2 linked regions of the Mus musculus genome follow. The protein of the gene in region 1 purifies or fractionates together with the protein of each later gene. This does not show direct contact. Links are inferred from orthologs where the notes say so. Each region holds a gene or a part of one and is shown on either strand. Other genes may lie near its edges.

What was found.
Region 2: the proteins of Ksr2 (region 1) and Fkbp5 purify together in Homo sapiens (affinity purification with mass spectrometry; 3 studies listed by BioGRID and IntAct, with this or other methods). This does not show direct contact. The link is inferred for Mus musculus from reciprocal best matches to the Homo sapiens genes KSR2 and FKBP5.

What each region holds. Positions count from the first base shown.
Region 1 is NC_000071.6:117,707,502-117,711,001, reverse strand, and holds part of Ksr2 (kinase suppressor of Ras 2), read right to left. Parts: intron 3,079-3,500; coding exon 2,711-3,078; intron 1-2,710. UniProt on the Homo sapiens protein: Location-regulated scaffold connecting MEK to RAF. Has very low protein kinase activity and can phosphorylate MAP2K1 at several Ser and Thr residues with very low efficiency (in vitro).
Region 2 is NC_000083.6:28,483,350-28,487,467, reverse strand, and holds the start of Fkbp5 (peptidyl-prolyl cis-trans isomerase FKBP5), read left to right. Parts: upstream 1-1,318; 5' UTR 1,319-1,516; intron 1,517-4,118. UniProt on the Homo sapiens protein: Immunophilin protein with PPIase and co-chaperone activities. Component of unligated steroid receptors heterocomplexes through interaction with heat-shock protein 90 (HSP90).

The sequences.
Region 1 (3,500 bases):
GACTAATCACCACCTTGGATGTCAATGGGGCAACTTACAGATGGTTCCAGATGATCTGGGTGGGCCCTAAACAGAACTGTCCCATCACATGGGAAGCCAAAGATGGTCTGACCAAAGCAGTTGATATAACCATAGAAACAAGGCTACTGGCCTTGAAATGGAAGAAGAAGCCAGAAGTCATGGTGGAAAAGGCAGTAAGCTGTGTCCCCTCTTACAGACCACACCTCCACCTCAGACCACGCCTTCATCCTAGACCACACCTTCACCTCAGACCACACCTCTACCCTACCACACCTCATTTCCGACCACACTTTTACATCAGTCTAGTGAGTCTCAAGGCCCTTCATAACTGTAAGAGACCCAGGGTGTGCTGCCTGATGCCACAGAGTTAGGGTAACTTGATAGGAACTGAACACAGCAGCCTCCAGGAATCTACATCTGAGAGGCCTTGCTCCCTCAGTGGATAGATGAGGTCCAGACAGAGTACTCTCAGAAAGCTGCTGCTGCTCCAAGCTGTTCCCAGCAGTGTCGCGGACAGCTCATTCCCAGAGATCCAAAGCGTTTTGTCAGAGTTGGGACACACACCTGCTTCAGCCCACTCATCCCACAGATGTAGAAACTGAGGCTCAGGAAACCCCACAGCTGGGCTGAAGGATGGAGGCTACTGTCAATCAAATCCTTCACTATTGGCCTTTCAATGCCGCTTGAAGTTTTCAACACGAGCAACTGTGCAGGCTGCTGGCTCTTTCGCAGTAATTCCATAATGACCCAATCGTAAAATAATTTAGCCATCCAGATTTGAATTGTCTGCAAGCTATAGTGACCGAATAACTAACTAGTTATTGTTCATTTCCTGAGAGCCAAGCATATGGCTTTTACAAGGAGACCCAAGCTCAGAAATACGTGTTAGCTCTGATGATAATTACTAAGTAGTTAGCTAGAACACACCATTGTCGATTTCTCTAGAATATGCCAGATAATTATCTGGTCTTATACTCCCTGTAAAAATAAAAACCAAGGTCCCAGAATTGTTCTAGTCAGTTGGCTATCCTCCAACAACCGATCCCCTAACAGTCAATCGTGTGAATGCAGATGATTAATCAAATTACTCAGCTATCTGGCCGCAAGCAGAAGTTCAGATGGATACTCTTAAGGACTAACAAGTAGACGGAGCTAAATGGGGCACTCACCGAGCTTTCCCATGATAAATCTGTAATACCGCAACAACCTTGGAATGAACACGTCTTTTTCAGGTTTCATCTGGCATCCTCACACAAAATACCAAATACTTCAGAGACCAATTAGATGTCCCAAAGCTGCCAGGGATGTTATTATTATCATCACCATCACCATCATCATTATTATTGTGGTGGTGGTGGCTGGGTGCTTTGTGAGATCTGTAGGTTGTTATGGCACGTGGGGAGGGGCGCTCAGAGTTCTGTCACAGAACAGAAGGCTGCAGTGCAGCTGGGCTTGAAGGGTGAGCAATACATTTTCATAATGGGCCACTCATTTTCGAAGGCTGCTAGCGGGGTCTGAACAAATGTGCAATGAGCCTCAGTTTGGAAAGAGGGAGGGGAGGGATGGGTCGCTGAGATTCATGGGTCACCGGACTTGTATACTGCAAGTGAGGGGCTCCTCACTTCTGGGAGAGGAGAAGTTGCTTCCTGATGAGAGGGAAGTGCAGAGTATGGAATGGGGGGGGTGGGCTTTCCATGAAGAGGGATGTAAAAATGACTATCTATGGTCCTCCCCCTACAGAGTCTGCCATTCAGAGAGCAACTTCCTCCATCACTTGAATCCAGCTGGCCACAGGAGATGCTCTGGCCAACGGATGTCAGCCAGAGCCTGACCAGAGGGTGCATGGAAAGTACCTATGCATTTAACCTTTGACCCCTGGCTGAGCTTGGGCACCAGAGGCCACCACGGGCGTGACTGAGCTGGAGACTGTGTGCAGCATAACTGAGTCACCCCGGCTGACAGTACCCACCAGCAGATGGGTGTTCATATGTCATCTATAGGAGTTCACATGTGAATGAAGGACAACGTTTTACATCAGATAGTCATCTGCCATTTTTTTAAAAGTCAATCTCTGTTAACTACCCTCCCCCACCCCATCCCCAAACCCCTGCAGCCCACTAATGCAGGATACTCAGAACAGTGGTGGCAATAGCTCCACAAACACTCTGTAAACCATCAAGAGCCACGATCACAGTCACCAGCATCTCAGATCAAACTGTGGGGCAGAGCTGGCCCACTACTTGGGTGTGTAAATAAAGTTTTATTGCAACACTGTCACGCAATATATCACATATATCATATGACCATATGGTCATATATATCATATATCATTTATGGCTGCTTTCCCCGTGCCCCCCGCCCCCACCTACCGACAATAGCAGAACTAACTGGCTGAGACCGAACCTGTGTGGCCTGTGAGGCCAATTCACACATAGCACTGGGAGTGCTACACAAACAGGCTGATCTATGTCTAAAGCAATTCACTCATTTTACCTAATGAGACACAAGTATCAATCATGCCTGGCTTTTCTGGCTCCCAATGCAGTACTCTTCCCAGCCATCCCTAAAACCCTAAAGGCATTTTCTGGGGACCTAAAGGATTGTGAGAAAACCGTGGATGGAGGACCCGAAGACACTATTAACATGCACAAAGCCCTTAGATGTTCCCATCGGAGCCCGAGGGACTGACCTGGTGATGATGGCCAAGTGGGGTGGGCTCATGCAGGCTCCCATGAAGAGCACCACGTTCTCGTGCCTCGTCTGCCTGTAGGCCATCACTTCCCGCTTGAAGGCCTTAAGCTGGTCCTCATTGTCCCTCTCTATGTCAATCAACCGGATGGCCACCTCGCCGTGCCAGCGTCCGTGGTAAACCTGCCCGAAGCGACCCTTCCCGATGAGCTCGCCAATCTCTAGCTGTTCAAACGGGATGTCCCACTCCTGAAGGAAGATGCTGGTCTGGCTGGCTTTGCGTGGGAAGCTCCGGGCTGAGAGGAGGGATAGGTTCATCTCTTCAAACTCGTCCTCGGACTCCTCTGCTTCATTGTGGCTCTCTTCGTTCTACGGCCAGAAGGGTGAAGGCTCAGAATCATGGCCACCCCAGCTCCACCCTCCCCAGGGATCTGTTTCGGCTGTAGAGATCAGGATATATTGCCATACACAGACACGGTAGATTCCCCAGGTGTCTTTGGATTAGAATCAAACCACAGTGAAGGTCTTAAAGGAACAGCAAGTGGTCCCACTGTCTTGTGCTAAGAGAGGAGAAAAGCTAAGGGCTCCAACCACTCTGGTTTGGCTAGACTTCGTAGTTTTCACACTGAAAGTGACACCTGTCAATCCTGGGCAAACTGGGCTGTTGGCTGCGCTAGGAGGTTCTCACTCTGGATCACAGCCAAGCAGAGGGACAGAGAATTCAGATCCAGGTTTCTGGATCGCTGCAATGCAATGCCCTCTTTATTCTACCTCTGTGAATCCACCCCAAT
Region 2 (4,118 bases), on another chromosome or scaffold:
GTTATATGGACATTGATATATATCACCATACAAGGTGACATGTATCTTCATAAGTTCTAAAGTGAGACAAGACAAAAGAAACCAAAACTAGGGGCTGGAGAGAAGGCTCAGCGGGTAAGAGCACTGACTGCTTTTCCAGAGGTCCTGAGTTCAAATCCCAGCAAACACATGGTGGCTCACAACCATCTGTAATGAGATCTGATGCCCTCTTCTGGTGTGTCTGAAGATAGCTACAGTGTACTTAGATATAATAATAAATAAATAAATCTTAAAAAACAAAACAAAAAACCAAAACTAAAATAAAAGCAGACATGGAACCAGGAAACATGGAATTTTCCTGTGGCTACAAAATATTCCATAGGTAATTGGGACTTTTATAGTTTCTCCTCCCCTCAAAAAACAAACAAACAAACAAACAAACCAACCAACCAACCGGGGGTCTGGAGAGATTCCCTAGCTGTTATGAGCAGTTGCTCTCACTGGTTGTTCTCCCAGAGGCTGGGAGAGCACAGGATGCTTCCAACTCCAGTGACAGGGGATTCGATGCCCTCTTCTGACCTCTGTTGGGTACTGCACTCACATAGTAAACACACACACACACACACACACACACACACACACACACACACACACACCCAGCAGGCGAAACACTCATCATAAACGTTCTTCTAAGAATCTTCTTAAAAACCGAACAGTTAGAGTTCAAGTCCCCAGGTGCAGCTCCTGAGCGTCTATAGGAGTCACCCAGACGTGGCGAGGGGGTGCCATCTCGAAGCTGACCTAGCTCAACAGCCATCCTTTGGGTTCCTTTTTGACCTCATCACCTGGGCTGCTTGCTGTGTTGGAGAGGCAGAAACCTCAAGGGAAAGCGACATCTTCACGCCCACTGGGTGTCCAGAGAGAGAGGTGCTAGGTGCTACATCGCATTTTCCCAGTCTCTAAGGAGCATCTTCAAGTTCAGGAGGTTATTTTCCGGGGTCAGCATGGCCCGACCTCTGCAGCTCGTGAAGGGCAGGCTGGGTGGACAGACAGGCAAGGCAGACGCTTGTCTGGTCAGTATTTAGTCTGGAGGCAGTGGACGACGAGGCGAGGTGTCAGTCAGCTTCCTCCATCCCTCTTCTCCGGCCCCCACAAAGGGCAAGGGCCAGACACGTGGGCAGCGGTGAAGAGGCGGAGATGCAAACGAACGGGGCGGAGCCTCATTTGCATAGGCAGTGCACGGCCACCAATCGGGACGGGCGGAGCGACAGCCCGCGCGCCTTTTGGGGGCGGATTGGCAGCCCCGTGGCCCTATGGGAGGTGGGTCCTGCGGCCGGCGGGGGCGGGACGACGGCGGGCGCTGCCCGGCGCACTAGCCGGCTTGCGGGCGCTGCCAGTCTCCGGCGGCGGTGTCCGGCGCGCGGCTGAGCGACCGAGCGTGCGGACGGAGCGGCGGCCTGCTGGGCGGGCTGAGCGGCGCGCGCGGCGGCGGAGAGACGCGGAGCGAGGGACGCGGCGGCGGCGGACGCGGCGACAGGTACGGGCGCCATGGCCGCGGGAATGGGGCGCGCGCACGCGGCGGACCCCGGAGCCAGCCCCGTGCTCGCGGTCCCGCTTCTGCCGCCCCTCGCGCGGCTTCCCCGGGATGGCGTGGACGGGACGCGCGGGAGGCCTGGGCCCCGCGTGGGAGGTGGAGCGGCCGGCGCTCTTCTCCAGCGTCTCCCTCAGCGCGGCGGCGGCGGCTCGCTCGCCCGCGCGCGGCTTTTGTTTCCCGCGCAGCCCACAGGTCCGGGGAGCCCCGTGTCGCTCCGCCACGCCGCCCTCCGGACGCGGAGGAAACTTGGCCTTCCGGAGCCCTGCAAGCCCCGCGGATAACGGAGTGCTCCGCCGCGTCCGCGGGGCCGCGCGATGGGCGTGCCGGCCGGGCACCGCCCTCACCTGCCGCTCCCGAGCCGGCTCGCACCGGGCAGGCAGGTGACCGGAGGGTCTCGGAGGTACTGAGGAGGAAGGGCTAATTAAAAGTTGTCTCGGAGGTGGCTGAGCGGGTACAGCCGCTTGCAGCCAAGCGTGACGACCTGGGTTCGATCCCGGGAACCGACATGGTAGTAGGGGAACCGACTCCAACCGCGAGTTGTCCTCTGACCTCCCTGTGTACACAGCACAAACACCACTGGCTCCGATACACATTCTCATCTCTCACCCCCGCTCTCAATAATACTAAGGAAATAAAAGTTATTTTAGGAATCTTCATTCCCTTCGCCCCAGCGGCATCACCACTCCTGTTCCGGCCATAGTCCTTGACTCCAAACCCAGCATTTTGTGTGTGTGTGTGGGATGAATCTAAGGGAGCACGTTGCATTATGACCATCTTCCTCCTCCTCATCTTCGTCTGTGGATGAGCCAGGTGGAGCGCTTGCGCCTCATTTTTTAAATAATTGGTGTCTGCAGCCATGGCGAAAGCGTTGGAAGGTACAGATCGTAAGCAGAGCGTGCAGAACTTGGGACAGCCCTCGGCGGGGCTCGGGACAGGGTGTACAGCGCTTGGCCGCCATTCAGTAAATTCTGCATGCGGCAGTTGGGAGCTGGTGGTTTGGGGATTTTTTTTTTTTTTTTTTTCCCTTCTTCTTCTTTCAGGAGTGTGTTTTCCAGCGGACCAGGGCGTTGAATAGGCACTTTCTTTGCTTCCTTTAGGGGAAGGAGAGAGTGTTTATTTCTATTGTCATCCCATTTTCTTAGGGCTGTGGACAAGGGAAAAGTTAAGGTGTGTTTGGGTTAAGCATTTTGTCTTTTCCTCCCCACTTCTTGCTGTTAGCTTTATATGTTGTTAAAAATTATAGCTTTTCCTCTTGGTGTCTGAATCAATTCAAGAAATGACTTGGAAAAAAATCTTACTTAACCGTTTTCTGTTACTCTCCCAGCTGATCCTCATTTGCCTGACTTTTTGGGGGGGGTATTTTTTTTTTGTTTGATAGTTGAAACATCAAAGTTTTATTCCTTTGTTATTGGGAGTTTACTATTCAATTAAAGCACGTATAAATTTCTGTAACCTAATACTCTCCACACAGCTTTCGCTTTGGAGTGCTACAGAAATGGTGTATTTTAACTATATTTATTTATTTATTTATTTATTTATTTATTTTTCGAGACAGGGTTTTTCTGTGTAGCCCTGGCTGTTCTGGAACTAGACCAGGCTGGCCTCGAACTCAGAAATCCGCCTGCCTCTGCCTCCCAAGTGCTGGGATTAAAGGCGGGCCCCACCACGCCCGGTTTACCTATTTTTAAATGCAAAGGTTAATAATGACACTGGTTTGTTAGCAGCACTGAGTGTTTTTAGCTTTCTTCCCCTTTGTCTTCTGATATGTCTTGTGTGGTAACTGCCTTGGGTGTAATCTATACTTCAGAAATGTTGAACTTCAGAGCACAGTTCGTTTTTATTTAATTACACTAATTGATTGAACAATCATTTTATTCATCTAGCTAGTTTGAGCTAGCTATGAGTTGGGACCACTTGAGATTGATTGATTGATTGATTGATTTTGAGACAGGGTTTCTCTGTGTAGCTCTGGCTGTCATGGAACTCTGTAGACCAGGCTGGCCTCCGAACTCAGAGATCCAACTGCCTCTGCCTCCCGGTGCTTGGGATTAAAAGCACGCGCCACCACTGTCCAGCCACTTGAGATCATTTAAAATTAATTTAGGAATATTTTCTGCAAGTTGTTTTAAAACAAAAGTTCATCAGTGGGGGCTTTTGTCATTCCAACATTTCACAAAAGGATGTTTCTCTATTTACTTTTTAGTTTTTATATCCATCTATCTATCGTCTGTGATAGATCGATCTGTCATTTGTGAGAGTACTTGGCACTGGTGTGGTTGTCAGAGGACAACTTTGGAGTTTTGTTTTCTTCTTGCCCTGTGTAAGTCCTGGACTTGAAATTCAGGTGGCTTAGTTTATTGGCAGGTTCTTTTATCTGCTGAGCAATATCACCAGCCAGCATTTCTTTTTAAAGACAGTTTAAATCACTTAAACATGAAAAGCCTAGAATTTGGGATGAGTTGTTAGTTAATTTTGAGAATTTTCTTTACTTTTGGATTGGAAAAGAATGTGTATTGTGTTGTTAGTTCCTACAGGGGATTCAGTT